Caenorhabditis elegans: one gene and its partners. Changing the gene in region 1 together with any one later gene gives a genetic interaction. Each region holds a gene or a part of one and is shown in the gene's direction. Other genes may lie near its edges.

Region 1 (4,688 bases):
CTTTTTTAATCTGCATTCCTGTCGAAGTCGTCTTGTCCATGCAACAACAATTAGCCAATATACTTATAACGGATTTATGAAGATCCTCGTGGTACCTGAATAAATGATATGTTTTGTTCCAGATCTTTACGGTTTCCTTGATATAACTAACATAGAAGTGCCCAATAAGCTAGTTTCTCTAGAAAAGACCGAAACTAAATCCTCTAGATTCTTTTTATGTGATACAAAACTTCCAATTTTTGTTTCATTTGGAAGCATTGCCTTCAACTTTTTTGCAGATTTCAGTGCCACATCTTTATCTTCTACTTTTATTTTTGCAATGACATTCTCAAATTCATTTCTTGTATCGGCAGCTTTGGATCTCTTGTTCTGAATTGATTCGTCGTTCGCAACACTTCTCCTCTTTTTCGGTGGAATCGCACCTCCATTTGCGCTCATTGCCTGTAACAATTGGACCATTATGCATCCCTTTTGTCTTTTCTACACGCACACATGCACACCGTCTATTCTCTTTCGTTTGATTCGGTCGATATTTGTTGTGAAGGGAGAGACGCGCGCACTCCCCCTCTCTCTCTTACTGAATTGAAAATCCGAAAACGCGCCAACGAGTTCTTGCTGGCGCATATTTTCAAATTTTGAAGTTGCAATTAAAAATTGTTTTTTCTTGATTTTAAGCTATTTTGCTTACATTTTTATTATTTAGACGTATTTTTTTAGGAATCAATGTAATTGACTATTAAAAAACTATTGTTGATTGTAAATAAAGAAATTGCTATTAATTTGAATGAGGAAAACAAAAAAACGGCTTCTGCAGTTCATTTCTCTAATAAAAAACAATTCGAAACAATTCACATACCTTCTGAATCAGACTTTTTCTAAGAAATCAATAGTAAATCCTTTACTGCCCACACTTTACGTCGAACAAGAATCTCCCCGTGTTGACGCCTTTCTCGTGCACGGCCTTTTCACTGCGTTACTCTTTTCCTGTACACTCTCGTGTTGTCTGTGTCTGGCACCCAGCCAACACTATTCGCGCGCATTTTCTATTTTGAAGGCGACCCAATACGCTCGTTTCTTGGCCGTTTTCTAGCATTTTTACAAAATTTTTTTTGCGGATTTAAAAATTTAATTCAGCATGGTTCCATTTTTAATGTTCAGATGCAAATAAATCATGTAAAATTCTAGGGTTAACTCTCTTTAAAGCTCATAAATAAGAACTAATACTCTTTTCGAGAAGTAAGAGATAATCTATTTTTCCTGGCAATTTTCGTTCCTCTATTAATGTATAACAAAGCAGTTGAAGATTTATTAAAATTTTAAGAAAATTCATCAATAGAAATAAACTTTGTTCGCAAATTCACAAATATTTATAAGAACTTGCACTTCACCCTTCTTCTTTTTCAAATTTTCAAGTTTCGCGCGCACGCCGGCACACCAATCAAAAGATCAAAGTAGAATCTCTCATAGAGTTGGAAGCATAGCTACCAAACTAAAAATGTGTAAAAATATAAATTTCAAAATAAAGTTTAAAATTCTTCTAACGTTTAATTCTAGTTGATCTATCTCAGTTTTATTGTAGCTCATTTGTTATTCTTATTCTATTCTTTGTTAATCTGTTACTGTCTCAAGAATTTTGCTCGACTTTCAAATTATTTCCGTTTTCAGACTCAATGAGTACGAAAAGAAAGCGTGCTGCCGAGCCCGACCCGGAAAAGGATGTTGCTTCCACTTCTACCGCTTCCAAGAAGCGGAAAGGACGAATGACAATTGCGGAAAAGGAAAAGCGAGAGTTTGAGGTTGAATATATTTAATATAAGTGTAAATTTATTGTTCTTTTTCCAGATGGCGAAGGGTAATTATGTGATGGCACAGATTCGAAAACATCGAAGTTCCGCCGGCAATAATTCTGTATTCGAGAGTTTTCTCCGATTACCGCCACGCCGCTTCGAGCCTGAATATTATGAGCAAGTAAAAGAGCCGATTGATGTTACCACAATCCAACATAAACTGAAAATTCCCGAATATTTGACGTATGATCAGTTTAATGATGATTTCATGATGTTCATTAAAAACAACCTCACTTACTACAAAGACGAATCTGAAGAACACAAGGATATGATGAAAATTCAAGAACTTTTCGAGGCTGCTACCGCTAAGGTGAAATCTGGAGAATATCTAGATGACGCAGAGGACGAAGAGGGAGACGAAGATGTGGAAGAGACAGTTCAGGAAGAGGAAGAACCTGAAGAGAGTGGAACATCATCTCGTGATTCGACACCTATGGACCTGGATCACTTCATGCTTTGTGATCTTTTGGGAGCGGTTCTTGAAGCGACTGATAACACCGGAAGGCTTCTTTGCCCACCATTCCGAGTTCTTCAAAGTCGAGAAGATTTCCCATTGTACTATGAGAAAATAGCTAAACCAATTGATCTCAAAACGATTGCTCAAAACGGAGTGAACAAGAAGTATTCCACAATGAAAGAACTCAAAGATGATCTATTCCTGCTCTTCAAAAATGCACAGCAGTTTAGTGGAAACGGTAGTGATATTTTCAAAGATGCTGAACAATTGAAAACTGTTGTGAAAGAAAAGATTGCTCGATTGGAAGAGAAGGGAGTTCATCCAATGAGAAGAGCCAAAGCCACACGACTCGTTGATGCTTTGTTAACCGCTGTTGCAGTTAATGAAAACTTCTCAGAAGATTCAGAAGAGGACGAAGAAACTGAAACAAATTCGGAGCCTATGTGGAAGTTGTATTGGACAATCAGAAATGCTGTTCACGAGAAAGATCGAAATGTTACGCTGGCTGACAACTTTTTGGAACTTCCAAGCAAAGAGTGAGTATTAAAGAAAATATTAAAATGTCCATATTAAATGTTTCCATTTTAGATCTTACCCCGACTACTATGATGAGATCAAAAACCCTGTGTCAATTTTCATGATAAATAAAAGATTGAAAAATGGGAAATATGATTTGAAATCTCTCGTCGCTGATCTCATGCAAATGTATTCAAATGCTTTCGACTACAATCTTGAATCATCAGAAGTCTACATTTCTGCGGAAAAGCTGAAGGCACTAACGATATCCACGTGCAAGCAACTTGTTCCTTCATTCGATGTTTCTCAATACGAACCTGCTCCGGCACAACTTACACCAGTGAAACCAAAAGCGACACCACACAGAGCTCGAATTAAGATTGAGATGCCGGACACAGACTCGGAAGATAGTAGGGTATGTGTTTAATATTATTTTGTGTTGATACTTTTCAAAAATGTAATATATTTCAGACTCCACCTCCTACTCATAAAAGGAAATCTCCGAAAAAACCTCGTGAAAATGGAAGTGTTCCTACTCCAACTTTTAAAGGCAGAAAATCGACGATCCCTGTCGATCCAAATGCTGCTTATATGAAGCAAAAAGCAATGATGCAAGGGCTTTGGAACGTTATCCATTCCTACAGAGTCGCTTCGAATCCGGGACATTGGCCAGCGGGAGCATTCATACAATTGCCATCTGCCAAACAATATCCAGAATACTATCAAATTATTCAAAATCCGATTGATATGAAAACGATTCGGATGAGAATAGATGGACATCAGTATCCACAGGTTGATGCAATGATCAACGATTGTCGAGTGATGTTTTCGAATGCTAGAGATTTCAATGAACCCCGTTCAATGATACACATGGATGCTATTCAACTAGAGAAAGCAGTTTTGCGAGCTTATGAAGGAATGAGAAACACGTCACTGGGCTCTTCAATACCGTCAACTCCTCATTCGTCATCGTCAAATCTTATGAAAGCAATGAAACTGTAAGTTATAAAATTTTCTTAATTTATTGCATATTTTTGAATTTGGTCATATTTCTCACTGCAAATATATTTATTCAGAAAAACTCCGAAATCCGAGGTCCGTGGTCGCGGTAAAAAGAACTTTAGTGGATCTGATGATGAGGAATCAGCTCGAATTAACATACAACAACATCAAAGAAGCATGGAGGATGCTATAATGCAGCTTCCAATCGAAGAGCAAAAAATGTGGAGATTGTTCAAATCTATGAAAGATGTTCGTGAGGAAGGAACCAACCGTCCATTGGCTGTAAACTTCATGCGTCTTCCATCAAAGGAGGAATTTCCTGCATATTATGACGTCATTAAAAAGCCGATGGATATGATGAGGATCAAGCATAAGCTGGAGAATCGTCAGTATGTAACACTGCTTGATGTGGTTTCTGATTTCATGCTAATGCTTTCTAATGCCTGCAAATTCAATGAGACTGATTCTGACATCTACAAGGAAGCAGTTTCTCTTCAGAAGGCACTTTTGGAAATGAAGCGAGAGCTTGATACCGGAGATGATGCACCAAGAGTTCAGGTTGAATTGAGAACCATATTTACTTCAATATTTGCCTCGCTGTTCAGTAAGAAAGATGAAGAAGGAAAATGTTATTCGGATCATTTAACTGAATTTACGGAAGTTCTCAAAGCGAATGGAGTACCTTCATCTGAATGGCCATTCACTCTTGATCAAATTAAGATGAATATAGATAAATGCCGTTACAGACGACTCGATAAGCTTCAAAAGGACTTTTTCGATCTGTTCGAAAGAGCAAGAGAACTCTCAAAAGCAGGCTCTTCAATGTACGAAGCAGCATGTACACTTCAAAAATCATTTATTGTTGA
Region 2 (7,923 bases), on another chromosome or scaffold:
GATGAATTCCTTTTTGAAACGATCACAGCAAACGCTTATTCTCGTCTTTGGCATTCTCAATTGGGCTCACAAAGTGATGGTAAATTCACGGCATCGCTGTTATGCACACACAAGCCAGAAAACGATACGATTCACAATTTTCACATTTATCCAATGAGTTTTCAAAAAATTGGCAATTCTGCGATACTCTACATGTTGCCGGAATGTGTTTCTCCCGGATCGAAGTTCCCGCTGGTCGTGGTCCCCTTTTCCGGATTAGAACCTAATTTCACCGTTAGGTAGATTTTTTTTCTTTAGACTCAAAATTTATTGAAAAATCAACAAAAAAAGCATCGAAAGAATTGCAAAATTCACGGATCGAGCTTTCAATTTCAACCGCAATTTTCTATCTTTATTTTTTTAATTTAAAAATGTTCAAATAGCAATTTTCCCTGTTTATAAAGAATTGATTTATAAATTTAAAATTAAATTTAAATTTTCAGTACCGTTGACCCTGTGCTCTCTACAATGGTAACTTGTGGCTTCTGTGTGCTAGTTGTAAACTATCGGGAGCCATTTATAGCAATTCCAGGAACCTGCTTTCCAAAGAATTGTGGTTCGGAATGTATTAATGATGTTCATGTAGAGAATCGTTCGTTTTTTTCCTCATTTTATGATTTTTTTTACAGGAAACTGTACTAGAAGTTCTCGAGAGACACGGAGCGCGGTTAGATGAAAAATATATTTACTTGTATGGATTTGAATTTGGATCTTTTGTGGCGTGTAGTCTGATTATCAAACATAAGGTGGGATATTACATCGACGCGAGATTCTGCGATTTTTGGTGAAAAATACAATACCCGGTTTCGACACGACATGTTTTCTTCAGAAATATTTTGAAAGTTTTATTGATAGATCCGTCAGTTTTGCGACATTATAGTTAAAAAAAAACAAAGTCTCTGATTTCGGTACTCCACCTTTAACTTTCAAAAAATGTCGTGTCGTTACCCCGATATTTTTCTATTTTTGGCACGAAAATCACAAAATTTAGCGTCTCATGGATTTTCATATTTTTTAATTCACTATTTTCAGAAATTCTATAAAGGATGTGCACTCGTACGGCCGATGCTCGAATTTCCATTCACAACGTGTGCAGTTGATACAGAAAACCCTGAAGCTGAATTTCTGAAAGACGTGGAGCCGGTCTCACATGCGTCTGAAATTGTTACTCCGATGTTGATTGTTCTGGAGAATAAAAGCGATACAAAGTACAAAGATTTTGAGTCTACAATTCACAATAATGGCGTTCCGTGTTTTGGAGAATACGAAGAAGAAGACGAACAAGTGAATGATTTCGTTGTGAAAGTCATTCAATTTTATAGAACACCATATGGAGAATACGAGAATGGTTCTAGAATTGAAACGCCGGTTCCTGATGATTAATTATTTATTTTTTCTTTCTTGAATTATTACTAACTTATATTGTTAATTCATTAAAAAAACGCCGATTAGAACAATGTCTACATCAGCTTTAATTCGTTGTTAAAATATGTTACAAATTGGAATTTCGCTCAGTTTTAAATTTTTTATGTGTCGTTATGCTCAGATATATATTTTCTTTTTTTGAAATCTCGAATAAAATTTGAATTTCGTTAAATATATAACTATCGTTAAAAATCCATTGAAATAATATTTGCAAATCGATAATCTTTTAGATTGTTCAGTAGAGCGCGTCTGCACACTCCTCACCCGATTTGAATCGGAGCATTTATTCTAAGTTTATTGACGTCTTCCTCGATAAAATGTGAGTTTCCCATCGAATAAATTATAAAATCGCAATGAAAATTATTTCAATTTAATTTCAGATGACATTAGTAGCTAGTTCCGAAAACACAGGGCTCTGTCCAATGACATTTGATGATAGTTCTGGGCAAACCAGTCATATGTGTAAGAGTTTTGTATTTAATTCAATCTTGGCTTGATAATTAAATTAACTTTTATTTTTCAGTGTTCCAACGATTACAATATCAACGAAAAACCGGCCGATTTTGTGATGTGGAAATTGTTGTTCAAAACAAATCATTTGCGGCTCATCGAAACATTTTAGCAGCTCACAGTCCATATTTTGACGCAATTTTCAAATATTGCAAAATCACAAAGGAACAGCTCACAATAAATAGCAAATCTCCACAAGTTTTCGAGTTATTCCTCAATTATATGTACAGTGGAACAGTGATTATCGATCGATCAAGTGTTTCGGAGCTATTGAGATTTGCAAATAATTTTCTGGTAATATTATTGATTTTTCGATCGACTATTCCTGCTATAATTCCGTTTTTTTCAGATAGTGAAGCTAAAAGTGTATTGTGCAGCTTATTTGGATCGATATCTAGACGCGGCCAATTGCTTATCAATACGAACGTTAGCTCAGAGATATAATCTACCAGGACTTGTGAAAGTAAGAATTTGAATTTTTAAAGCTTTAAAAGCGAGAAACTTCGAATTTCTTTTTTCAGTCTGCTACAGACTACTTTGACAGCAATCTTAATCGATGTTTACTGGAATCCAGAGATATAATTGGTTACACGTATACACAACTGACAAGACTCATTGGAGATCCGAAATACGTGGATTGTATTACTTCTGACACTTATTTAAAGTGAGTTTTTTCGTTCCAAAATGACTAAAACAGTAATTTTTTCAGATTAATAGTCCGCTGGGTCGGTGAAGAAGTATCGAAGCGAGAGGAAATCTTCCGATTACTACTAGAATCCTGCGAATTTCGAGAAGTTTCAGCTGACACACTGGAATTTCTTCTGGATTACTCGCCGTTGCTATCGAAAAGTCAGAAAAGTCGATTTTTGCTACTACATGTCATGTAAGTGGAGTTGTTAAAGTTTACAAAATTATTACTGATGAAATAATTTTTGTAGGGAAACAAATAACATGCTTATGGAAAAGTACTCGACTCAACTGAGCAGTCTTCGTCAGAAAATCGTTGATCTTCCGATTCTCCACGATCCATCTCAATTTGAAGATGATATTTATGATTCAAGTGATTCTGAAGAGGATCCAGATGATTATATAGCTGATGGACATCCAACATCTGCACAAGTTGTTGAATACGGAAATGATGTTAATAATCGACTGAAAATGAAGATTGCATTCCAGCCGGGAAATGAGAAGAAGCGGTTAGTGATTATATGAAAAAATTGATAAAATTCAATGGAAAATTTTAGATTAAAACGACCAAAAGGAATGAAAAAACATCATTTGCACCCAATTCCACCGATTAATGCGACGGAAAATGAAAGTGAGCTGGTTTTTTTTCTCAAAAAAAAAGGGATTTTGTGAAATTGTAAAATCAAAAATTGAAGAAATCTTCTGTCAAATTCCTTATCAATAAAATTTCCAGGTATTCCATGGATCGACGAAGACGAAATTGATGGTGTATATGCTACATGTTCATTGGAAGGATGTCATACCTATGGACCAGTTGACAATTTGGATCCAGATGATTGTGAAGATGAAGAAGATCAACCTGATGAGAATGGACCGTCCACTTGTATTTTCTGTGGACTGCGGACTGCAAATGAGGAGGTATTGACAAAAAATAAATCAATTAAAACCTTGAAAAAATGCGAAAAAAATATTATTTTTCTCAAATTTAAACCGTCAATATGATTTATTCTATTTTTAGACGTCAAAAAGGTCTCGACACACCGAACAATGGGCTACAGTAACCTGTTGTCGGTGTGGTGAGACCTGACCAGATTTTGGCGAAAATTTCATATTTTGGCGTTTATTTAATATACAAAACTCGACACGACGATTTTTGGCTACATCAAGAAAATTTACGCCTTTAAAGATTACTGTATTTTCAATCTGAGGAGTTTTTATCGATTATTTTTAGTTTTTCGATAAAATATATTTATTTATCAACCAAATATTCCGAAATTTAAATAGTTTTTAAAAAGCTTAAATTTTAGAAAAAAAAACTATGAAAAATCAACAAAAACACCGTACAGTAATCTTTAAAGGCGCATAATTGTTTTCGGTTCTAACGAAAATTTGTCGTGTCGAGACCAGGCTCGAAAATTGCAAATTTTTGTGTCTATATAATATATATCTTTAAAAATATTTTTTTAAAGAATTACAGCACAATTTGGAAACTTTCATGCATAATTTATTTTTTTAAAAATATTTTGATGTAAAGTTCCATATTTTGGGAAAATGTAAAAACAAACTCGTGTACGAACGATCTTCTGCTGGTTTTATGAGTTTTATGTTCCAAAAAACCAAAAAAAAAAAAAAACCAGAAAAGTGTTGTAAAATATTTCGATCGATTCTTCAACAATTTCCTCATATTTTCAGCTTCTCGAAAAGCACAAAGCTCGTCATCACAATCGCAATACGTATTATATGTGTCATTTATGTGAATTTGAAACCAATTGGAGCAAACAATTCTATCTTCATTGTGCTGAGCACTGGACAGAGATACCGTATCGATGTGAAACGTGTCCGTTCACTTCAAATGAGATACAAGAGTTTTTGACCCATAGGCTTCAGCATAGTGAGTTTTTACAAAAATTTTGGAAAAAAACGTACATTTTTTAATTTTGAAAAAAAAACTCTTTTTTTTTGAAACTACAAAAAAATTAAATGTATTTTCAGATAAATCGTTTCTTTTTCTGAAATTCACAATGTTTCTTGAAATATAAACCTATTTTCATTTAAAAAACCAAATTATGAAAATTAATTTTTGTAAAAAAATTGATCGATAATGTTTTTTTCATATTTTCAGAATTTACCAACAATATCAATTTAAATTTTTAATTAATCTCCAAAAAATCGAATGAATAGCTAAGCTTTCAATTTTCTGTTTTTTTTTTAAATTTACCATCAGACACACGTTGACTTTGCCGAAGGAAACACATTAAAACCGAAAAAAAACGGCTGAATAAAATTGTTTTCCAAAATTACTTTCTAAAAGAAACAAAAAAACCCTCTAAAATTGTCAAATTTTCAGCCGACGAGCGTTTCTTCAAATGCGGTGAATGTGCATGGAAAGGTCGAACTCGTTCTCAACTGTTTGCTCACGAACGAATGCATTCTGTACTCGATGATCGATCATTACACTGTGAAGAGTGTGGAAGAGGATTCCAACAGCATAGTACATTGGATCATCATGTTGCTAGTCATAATGATCCTAGGTAAGTTTTTACTATGAAATTTCGAGATCTGAAAGTTAATAATGTGCGAATTTGAAATAAAAAACCATGCAAGATCTGATTTTGAGGCAATTCCAATTTTGCTAGTAACGTTTGGAGGCAATAATAATAATTGTCTCAAAACCAAACAAGGCGACTTTTATTCAAATTCAGAATTTTCACAATTTCCATCAAATTCTTCCAAATTTCAGGCCTTATATCTGTGAGGATTGCGGTTTCGCCACCAAAACCGCCGATCATCTTTCCCTTCATCGTCGTCAACATACTGGAGACAATTTTAGCTGTCACATTGGTCAGTTTGTATTTCCTGTAACACCACGCATTGGAATACACTGAATGCCAGAATAGTTCCGTTATCACCTGCCAACCGATCCATCATTTGGATGACTTTTGCGCAGTTCACTTCTACTTTTTTCCAACCAAAAACCCCCCTCGCTGCGTCTCCTTATCACCCGTACTATTCCATTAATTTTCGTTTCTCCTTGGCGACACAGCGCCGCCTTTTCCGCACAAAAAATGGTCGAAAAAACGAAAGAAAACGGCGGCTGAAGATAGAAACAGTGGTTAGATCATCTGTGGATCATATCACTTTCACTTTTTTTTTCTGCCGAACACACACTGGGGTACTGTAGGTATTTGGTAATGGTTTTATCGTCGCGCTCGACATAAAATCATTTCGACGTGTTTCATTAGTTTTTGCGCTTTTGCAGAGAACTTTTCTCAGAGCTTCTTCTTCTCCAATGCAGGGCCTTTCCCAGCTCGCTTCACGCTGTGCGTAATTTTTTCGAGTTTTTAAACATGGAGTATTGTTTAAACAGCTATGGAGTTGATCTGAGCAATTTTTTGTTATTTTTCCTATAAAATGACATATTTAAAGATCCTGAAAACTACACTATAAAATGACATATTTAAAGATCCTGAAAACATTACTGTTAATTTTCAGCCGGTTGCGACTACTCGTCGACCAAAAAAAGCCAACTGGCGGCCCATCTCCGTACCCACATGGCGGTTCGCGCCCATCTCTGCAAGATCTGTGGCCGTGGATTCATCGAAAAATCACATCTGGTCCGTCACGAGAGGATTCATTTGGAGGAGAAGCCGTTCAAGTGTGATCAGTGTGAATATGCATCTAGTCGGCGTGATAAGCTTAAGGTTTTTGAGCATTTTAGATGATAATTTTTGATAATTTTCATAATTTTTAGGAGCACATCATCAAGCATCACAATTCGGAAGTGCTCACATTCCAAAAGACTCAACGAAGAAAGTATAAGAGACAGAGAATGTTGGCTGCCGCGAGCAATATTGTGAATAATCCGGATGCTCTGTTCCGTCCAATTACTTCTGATGATGCTGTTAGCAATTGGCAGGCTACTAATGACTTTTCGGTAGGTTTATTGAATTAACGAAGAGCCAAGCGACAGAATTTCTGAAATTTCGCCAATTTTTCCTTGTCGAAGCAGCTGAAATATAGTTTCTTTCAAACTATAACCCGTTATTGCATATATTTTCGGTACTAGATCTTGCTTAAATTCGCCGATTTAGGCACTATTAAAGTCAATAAGCATCCAATTTTGGTCATATTATGCCAATATTGATGATTTTTGGATGCCTATCGACTTTAAAAGTGCCTAAATCGGCGAATTTCAGCAAGATCTAGTACCGAAAATATGCAATAACGGGTTATAGTTTAATAGAAACTATATTTCAGCTGCTTCGACAAGGAAAAATTGATGGTTTTTGGGATTTTTGAAAAATCGGCCGTTTGGGGTTATACAAACTTAGAATCTAGAAATTTCTCATTTATCAATTTCCAGACGTACTCTCCGAATCCCAACGATTACGGTGGACCATCAACTTACGGCAACCCTTCATCTCCTCAGCGTGCCTTCTCAGTCGTTCATCCATCTCAACATCAACATCATGCCCAATCACCTGGCTGTATGTCTATGATGAATGTTCCATTACGGGACAATCATCATCAGATGCAGCGACAGGATTCACCGGGAGATTCTGTTGGAGGTGGTCAAGGAGGTGGTGGTGGTGGTGGACCTGAAGGATCAGACAATACACATGGAGTTTTGATGACACCTAACTTGGTGATGAGGTTTGTTACCTGTAAATTTTGCAAAAAGCAGTGCCGCATTAATTCTAAACATTATTTTCCAGATCTCCACATAACCGGAGTGCTGTCCAACCGCAATTCAACAATCTCTCCACAAACTCTGATCCACAACAACAGCAGCAACAACAGCAACTCCGTCCATTCTCACTTCCAACCTACGGACAAATGGATTTGGCTCAGGCGGCTCAACTCCAGCAACTTCAACAACAACTACAAGCAGCCGGGCTTCCACCGACTGGAACCCCGAATAATCAAGATAATTCCAATAATGCATGGAATCCGTGGAATGTACAATAATAAATATAGTCCTGAAACTGCCTAAAACCTCACTTTTGAAAAAACCCCTTTACTATCTTTGCCTTTTCTTGTAACATGTTTCAAATTGTTCTTAATGCCTTCATTTTGATATGTGTATGATCTCCTTGTTTAATGCCTAATTAGTCCTAAATGGTTTTTATGGTTATAAATAAATTTATGAAATTATAGATGACATTTTTAACTGAAACATTGTTTTATTTTTCTTCCAGACCACATAAAAGCGGCCATTTAGTTTATTTTCAAGAAAAATTCAAAGGTTGGGCCGAACCGGGA
Region 3 (7,857 bases), on another chromosome or scaffold:
TCTATGTATACAAGAACAGTAGTTCAATATTTTACAAAAAGTGTTTCTAAAATATCAATTTTTGTACAACAACGCGGAAAACATATGTATAAGACTTCTCACTTTAGCCGGTTTAAAAACTACAAATAAAGGTTTTTAGCATTAACGTTTTAAAGCAATTCTCAAAATAATACTGATCTGGAAAATTAATGCAATGGTCTTGTCTTTTTCAATTTCAGGTATTGACTTATTGTTTAACCTTTAAACTTGTAATAAAACAATTTTTACATTTTATTGAAGCACATCAAATCCAAAATTTTATTTATACTGAATGAAAAATGTTTCAACTAGATTTTGTCGAGTTCTGACAGCATAGTTTCGTAGACAAATCAAGAATTTTTAATTTTGCAATAACGTAACATCAAAACAAAATCGTAATTTATTTATTACCAAAACAAAGACGAATTAACTGAATGAATGAAACATGAAAAAGACCTGTATATAACACGTTGCAGATTTCAAACTATGCTGTTTTTTAATCAAAAATACAAATTGTCTTTGTAAAGTGTATCTCCACTAAACGTCTAACCACTGGCAGCAAAAAAATACCTATTTTGAAAATATGGCTATTTTTGTTTCCTCCGTATTGAATTTTTTTTTGAAATTCGAATTTTCCGAGTAGCAAAAAAGTGCCGTACATGAAAAAATATAATTTTTTTTGTTCTTTCAAGTCGATGTACCACCGTCTTTGCAACTACACTATTCACTCCAAAAAAAATCCAAGAAATTTTTTTTTTGCTACCACCATTAAAACGTGTGGAAATTATTTTAGACTGGTTAATTGCGAGTAGCAAAAAAGTGTCCTACCAGAAAAAATAGCAAATTTTCTGTTCTTTCAGGTCGATGTACCACCGTCTTTGTAACTGCGCTATTCATTTCAAAAAACACAAGAAATTTTTTTCAGAATGTTGAACTGGATGCAATAAAAATTTTAAATAATCCACTCTTCGAAATTCCGAAAACAGAACAAGACTTCACTGTGGTGATTTTCATTAAAATCAATATGTGGTAATTTTGTATACTCTCTCTATTTTCTGTTACGGATAAAATAAAAATTGACAACGGAATTTCTGAATTTGAAACATGCATTCAAAAAAAAAAACGATTCCTGTTGGTAACACATATGCACAGCACACTTAAAATGAAACAAACCTGATAAGACATTTTTTAAACTTTTAGGTTCAGTATTTTTGTATTATCTATTTGAAAAGTTACTATTCATTCATTTTTCTTTTTTCCTTAAAATTCTTGTTGCGGATGGAAAAACTAAACCTGAAAATAAATCAAGTGAATACATTAAGCTTTTTCTACTTTTTCCTTACAATGTAATAATTGAAAAGATGCATTTATGAGTTATCGTGATGTCTATTTTTGATTAGTCTCCTGTATTAAAAATCGCGGAAAGCATCAATATGGCCTACGTTTTAAACATCCTCGTCCGTACAGCCACTATCTCTTCCATTACCCTTCATATAATTACACCCGCGTGCCTATTCGCCCTTACACAGTCACTCAGTCCGTCCGTCCAGTCGACTTGTCCTCTTTCTCTGCACTCTCCGATCCTTAACCACTACTCACATGTAAACACACGCGACCGACTGCGATGTGTTCTTTTGCGCCGACCTCCTCTCGCGGACGAAAAATCAATAGGATGGCGGTCATTCGAATTGTGTAACGAAAGCGTTTTTTTTTGCTGCTTTCCGCGTTTTACTAGATTTATTTATAGGTTTGGTTTCCGTATTAATAGCCAATTTGTAGATTATCTAACTGCACTAATGAAATTCGATGGATCAACGTAATCAAAAATCTTTGCTGCCCGACTTTTCGGCAAATGGGTTTTCCGGGCAGTTTAATGGTAAGCAATAAGAAATTAAAAAAAAAAACTTAAAATTTAAAATTTAAAACTTATTGTTAAACTTATTTTATATGCATTTTTATTCAGGAATTCCTCATGGAAATACCAACGCAATTATGTCAACAATTCAGTCGTTGCAAATGCACAGCATGGGCAATCAGTTGTTGCCTCATGGCGATCTCCAAACCGATCTCCAAAATCAGTTTCTTATTGAGCAAGTGAGTTGGAAAATTCTAGCAAAAATATATTCGAGTGACAAAAATGTTAAACTACTCATTTTTGAAAATAAGATAGGATTATAAATCTGACGTGAGCTGTGTATATCATTTTGACTATCTTTGTCGCATACTTTGCACTTGAATTATTATTTTATTTACATAACTTTATTAAAAGCTAGTCGAAACTAAATTTGTATACTTCTTGTTGTTTCAGTTCCAACTAAGAGCAATGCAATCGATGTACAACACTTTTAACAACGGAAACCAGAAGCAACCTCAAGCAAGTCTTACAATGTCGCAGTTCAACTCAATGACTGGGAATGAGCCATCTACCTCAAGCAACGTGTTCTCCGCATCCATTCCAACTACTTCAGGAACACAAATTGTAAGTTGGTTTGTTTCAACCGCTTTTTCTCTTTCTCAAAAAAATTTAATTAAAAAGTAAATTCCGTTCATTTATTCAATGTATAATTTCAGAACGCATCTCAACCTATGATTCCCACCACATCAATGCATAATCTCGCTGTTCAGAGCTCTATGATGCTCGAAAACAAACTAGGACAAAATTTAAATCTAGTAAGTGGCATTGGTTTGGATAATAAATTAATTATATTTAACATGTGTGATAAAGTTTCAGAAAACTACCCAACTCGCACAAACGACCATACCTCAGGCACAAGCTGCTGTTGAAGATTGGATGAAAAACATTTGTGTGGATTCTTTACTCGACCCGAAACAAGCAAAGACACCATCAACAACACCATCTGCACAAGTTTCAGCTGGAACCACATTCAATAGTACTCCAGCAGTATCTTGTGCCACCCCACTGACGGCAACTGTAAGCCTGGCGACTAAACCTTCGGAACCATCTGCTGCTTCGTCTATGCCGACGTCTTCGGAATCGGTGGACGCGACGAAAGGGGACGCGATCGACTTTGATGATGAAGCGCATGATGATGTAGACAATATTTTTGGATTATCACTTTCGGAAAGTGACGTGAGGTCCGGCTCGATGTATCGACGGCCCGATTCGGCGGATCGTGTTCATAGTCCTATTGATGTAAGTGGGAAAGGATGAGTCTGGAAAAAAGAAAATTACAGTTTTCACAAAATTCGTTCAAAACTAAAATGATTGAATGAGTTTCTTTACCTACTATCTTTACAAAAAAAAATTCCAATCAATTTCCATTTTTAGTCAGTCTTTTCTAGTTTACGCCACCCGACTCTCCCCAAGCTGAACTGACATTTGACGAAATATTTGGAATATCAGCACCATCGACATCTGCAAAAGCCGCCACCAAAGAAAAGCCAGTACCGAAACCAAGGAGTGAAATGGTATTTCATGATGTTCCATCCACAAGTAAAGACGGTAAGAGTATATTTTTTAGTAAAACTAATGGGTATTTCGCTTTGAGAAAAATACACTTGTTTGGAATAATGATATACCACAGAAGGAAATTTTTTTCACCGACAATCTTCCCCATTTTAGATATCGCTACAGGGACGCGCGGCAATAAGGAATTTCCGGCAATAGGTAATTTCGGAAATTTCCGCCAACCGGCAATTCCGGCAATTGCCAGTTTCCAAAATTTTCGGCAATTTCGGCAATTGGCGAAATTACCGAAATTGCCAGTTTTCAAAATTTCCGGCAATTCCGGCAATTGGCGAAATTGCCAAAATTGTCTAAATTGCCGGACACGTTCTGCGATTTTCAAACCTAAATATATTTTAATAAAATTGAAAACATTCCACCCCTTTTTGTTAGTATTCGGTTAGTCTTTTTTTTAAAGAAAATGGTCAATCCTTAAAGGAATAAATCATTTTGAGCTTGAAAATAGAAAATTAATGATTAAAATGCATGTTTAGGCTCCTAAATCCTCAAAAAGTATCAAGTTTATTTATATATTTCCGGCAATCGGCAATTCCGGCAATTGCTGGATTTCAAAATTTCCGACAATCGGCAATTTTGGCATATGCCGGTTTATGAATTTTCGACATTCTGAAACTTCGGCAATTGTTGCGCACCCATGTCTCGCTATGTTTTCCTTAACCAGACCTCAATTTTTATGGAATAAATTTTTTTGTAGATGTCTGCAAACCACGTTAAAAAATGTTTATCAAAATGAAATTCATCGTTTTTATTTTTGAATAAACATTCTTCAGACTCAATAATCTCTTTTTAATATCATTTTTAAGTAACTTGTCTTTAGAATTAGTTTTACCAACTCCAAATCACATTAATCAAAACTAAATTACAGCTACTCCACAAAGAGTCCCGAAACCTGCTCCAACCGCTGCATCAAAAGAAGAGGATGACTTTGTCAACAACTTCGTTAAACCACAAAATGTAATCCACATTTACAAAATGTTTTTAAAAATTCAAATGTTTCAGGTTCCTGTGTACAAACAAAAAGCTGCCCTCATGTCCCTTGAAGCAAGAGAAAACGCTCGGAAAGAAGATCCAAACTATGATGCTTTTGAGTTTGAGGATGACGATGATTTCGTGTTTGGTGGGCCTTCGGCAGATTTGAGGCGTGAGCCTGAGCTTACGAAGAAGATTGAACAGAAGGCGAAAAGTGTATACATAACTGGAGTAGGGTTTTCAATTCGAAATGATAAAGAAAAGGAGTATAGTAGTAAGAAATATTATTCCAAACCATCAGCAACTCATCAGCCGAATTTCAATGACACAATTAATGGTAATATTTAACTTTACAATACCATATATTTATATCAAAATTACCTATTTCAGAGAAAGCATTTTTCACGACAGCTGATGAAATTCGTGCTCAAAAAGATCAGCAACTGGTTTGCGCATTCTTAAAACCCGAACAAGTTACCAGCACAGAATGCGTGAGGAATATGAGAAAAGTGACACGAGAAGAGCCAATGCTTCCGAAATTTATAATAAGGGTTGAGCAAGTGCAAAACCAGCATGAAGAACCAATGACTAGAAGGCGATATAAAAGAAAGAAGAACAAAAGTGATAATGACGACTCGGATTTTGAAGATGTGGCGTATAGGAAGAGGAAAACGGCAAAGAAAGTGTAAGTGGAATTTGATTGGGAATGGGAGTCTAGTTATTCTTCATGGCAAATAAAAAAATAAAGTAGGGCTTCCATGCAGGCGCCAAAACGCCTACCGGGAGCGGAACCCAAAAAGTGTCGGGCGCGGCGATAGAACCAAATTTTCAATATGTAGTTTTGAAGAAACTACGACTGTTTCAATTTATGAAAGTCCTATTTTCAGTTACACAATGCACAAAGAAAATGATCCCACTTTTCGACGAACTGTCTTGGACTTTTCAATTGGTCCATGCGTCTCTGATGAAGAAAAGAAGCGCGTCAGCATGTTTGGCCCGGCTGAAGGAATTTTACCCGTGAGCTTGAATTGATCGTTCTGTTTTAATTCCCAATTTGTGTATTATCAGAAAGGAACATATGTAATATGCAAAGCTGACATGCTGAAAGAAGATTGCGCTGTATGGAGAGTTGACAATCAGAATTTACTTCAGAAGTTTCCTCCGTTTAGAGATAGCAAAGCTAATCGACTAGTCTATCGCAGTAGTAGTACGGTAAGATTTGATTTTTGAGAAAGCGCAGCTTATATTTCACAGTTTTCAGTATTCGGGATGGTGCGAACAAATCTCATCACAATACTTCCGGGTCGCTGTGAAAATTATCAAACAGACACGTTCCGAGACAACAGTGGAGCCCGAAGTCCCCCTTGCCGAACTGTTTCCGGCGTCCTCTGTGGAATGGTTCAAGAATCCTGGGACTGTGTTTTTTGAAGGTATTTTGATAATTTTTTTTTGTTTCACCTTCTTTTATAAATAAATGTTGCAGAAGAGACGAAGGTTGAGCCAATAGACGATGATTCAATTTTAACGGAGCCAAGACGAGTCTCCCTAAACACTCTTGTCAACGCGTACCTAACACAGGTGTTTACAAAAACCCACGTGGAAAGCCTCATAGATGATAAAGGTAAGGTGGTTACAGAAGGACTTCTGACACGCTAAGCTTATTTCATTTTGAATGCCCAAAATTCAAATGGAAAATAAAGAACCATATGTTTTCAAAACAATTGTTAAAATTCCTTTAGGTCAATTTACAGAGCGGCGGCTCACTGATGCACATAGTGTTTATAGCATAGAATTGTTTTTTTTTTCTGTTAAAAAATTTGAACGATATCTCAAATAAGGTCTACAGGTTACTGTTCGCCGAAATGATTTTGCGCACAGCTCTGCGGTAGTTTTTGAAAAATTTGTAACAAAATACATGAAGCCTTATCAAGATCAATATGTTTTGAATTTGTTCATGCAAATTATAGCAAACTTTTCAAAATGTGCAAACTTAGAAAACTTCTTGAAATGTAATAAAACGTAGATCACGGCTCCCGTGTAACATAATATCACAAAAGAAAAATCAAAAAATAAAATGTTTGAATTCGATTAAAACTCGCCACTTTTTCAGATTGGACCTATTCTCGTTCAATAGCAGAACTCGAAACCAACAACAAACAATGCGAAGGGCTGATCAAAAAACGCATACCTGTCGAGCCGAAACACAATCGATGGATTGCGAAATACACTAGATTGGCCATATCAAAATCATCATTTCACTGCTTTACAAAGTGTCAGGTACAGTAAATATAATAAGATAGGGAAAGGAAGAACATCTAGTTGATTGTTCATTGTTTGCTACAGAATATGCAGAATATTGGAAATAGTGGTTAGTTGACATAAATTATATGATTTAGAAACTGATCATCAAAACGAATGAAGTCTATACAACTGTGTGTTTTTGCAGATTTGCAAACGGAAAAAGCCGCGGAGAGTGATTCACTTTTTCGACAAAACATCTTGCAATGAAAAACTGCTTGTGGAGAATCTATCAAGCGATATCCATGATGAAAATGAAGACGATGAAGAATATCCAATTGTATCTGATGCGATATCGTGTGGTCGGTGTTCAATGGCAGTTGACTTTCTTCACCGCATGCATCATATTAAATTCCATATGCTTAGGATATGTGAGGATAAGGTAATTAATTTAAATTTTAAAACAGTGTTATGAAGCTAATTCGGTTCTTTTTTACAGCTAGAAGAAATTGGTACATCTGATATCGACTTGACATCCGATAAGATTGTGGAGAAAGCGAAAGCCGACAAAGTCTGGACGCTTGGTGTCATTCAAAAATATTGCGATTTATGGGATCAAGTCCGTTACGAGTTTCGCGATGTGTAATACTGTAATAAACAATTTGAACAACTTTTATAACACATTTTGATTTTCGATTTCTGATTTTTCGACTGATATCCCTGAAAAATAATAGCGAAGAAGAAGAATGTAGTGTTTCTGCGACGGCTGATCACATGGAAACAAATGCTGCGCACTTATTTCTTGAACTTTCCGATTGCCTGTGCTTTTCTTTTCTCATAATTAGTTTTTCAACACAACTTTTGTAAAAAATTTTGTAAGAATTTTTCTGCGTAACATAATTCAATTATATTTTTATTTTTATTTATACGATATTGGCCAAATTTAAAAAAAACAATCCAATGTTTTCGAAAACTGGGCACTTTATCAGAACGTGTTCTGAAATTTTTTTTTTCAAAACTTAAAAAAGGACTATTGTAAGTGTATCAAGACAAAACCCCCACTGAAACAACTTCTTTAAAATAGGCCCATACCAAAAAATAATTTTGTTGCGAGAGCTATTTTGAAAATTTTGACAAAACGGTGT

What was found.
Region 2: of pbrm-1 (region 1) and eor-1, changing one enhances a phenotype caused by changing the other (phenotypic enhancement), as found in Caenorhabditis elegans (one large-scale study listed by BioGRID).
Region 3: of pbrm-1 (region 1) and eor-2, changing one enhances a phenotype caused by changing the other (phenotypic enhancement), as found in Caenorhabditis elegans (one large-scale study listed by BioGRID).

The regions. Positions count from the first base shown.
Region 1 is NC_003279.8:7,493,772-7,498,459, forward strand, and holds the start of pbrm-1 (Bromo domain-containing protein), read left to right. Parts: upstream 1-1,665; 5' UTR 1,666-1,670; coding exon 1,671-1,796; intron 1,797-1,842; coding exon 1,843-2,840; intron 2,841-2,892; coding exon 2,893-3,235; intron 3,236-3,291; coding exon 3,292-3,818; intron 3,819-3,896; coding exon 3,897-4,688. Other genes in the region: T28F4.4 (Inverted formin-2), read right to left, coding at 1-95, 152-438.
Region 2 is NC_003282.8:4,793,098-4,801,020, reverse strand, and holds eor-1 (Zinc finger protein), read left to right. Parts: upstream 1-1,833; 5' UTR 1,834-1,844; coding exon 1,845-1,926; intron 1,927-1,987; coding exon 1,988-2,268; intron 2,269-2,323; coding exon 2,324-2,437; intron 2,438-2,495; coding exon 2,496-2,638; intron 2,639-2,683; coding exon 2,684-2,857; intron 2,858-2,912; coding exon 2,913-3,170; intron 3,171-3,218; coding exon 3,219-3,292; intron 3,293-3,394; coding exon 3,395-3,579; intron 3,580-4,353; coding exon 4,354-4,552; intron 4,553-4,608; exon of another isoform or gene 4,609-4,757; intron 4,758-5,008; coding exon 5,009-5,192; intron 5,193-5,401; coding exon 5,402-5,502; intron 5,503-6,153; coding exon 6,154-6,362; intron 6,363-6,412; coding exon 6,413-6,595; intron 6,596-7,024; coding exon 7,025-7,314; intron 7,315-7,376; coding exon 7,377-7,629; 3' UTR 7,630-7,827; downstream 7,828-7,923. Other genes in the region: dpf-7 (Dipeptidyl Peptidase Four (IV) family), read left to right, coding at 1-278, 483-621, 669-785, 1,072-1,422.
Region 3 is NC_003284.9:14,601,268-14,609,124, forward strand, and holds eor-2 (EOR-2), read left to right. Parts: upstream 1-1,797; 5' UTR 1,798-1,824; coding exon 1,825-1,894; intron 1,895-1,981; coding exon 1,982-2,112; intron 2,113-2,326; coding exon 2,327-2,497; intron 2,498-2,589; coding exon 2,590-2,688; intron 2,689-2,743; coding exon of another isoform or gene 2,744-2,749; coding exon 2,750-3,172; intron 3,173-3,321; coding exon 3,322-3,481; intron 3,482-3,601; coding exon 3,602-3,646; intron 3,647-4,370; coding exon 4,371-4,459; intron 4,460-4,504; coding exon 4,505-4,811; intron 4,812-4,864; coding exon 4,865-5,159; intron 5,160-5,361; coding exon 5,362-5,491; intron 5,492-5,542; coding exon 5,543-5,686; intron 5,687-5,735; coding exon 5,736-5,904; intron 5,905-5,957; coding exon 5,958-6,095; intron 6,096-6,584; coding exon 6,585-6,751; intron 6,752-6,920; coding exon 6,921-7,154; intron 7,155-7,211; coding exon 7,212-7,358; 3' UTR 7,359-7,387; downstream 7,388-7,857.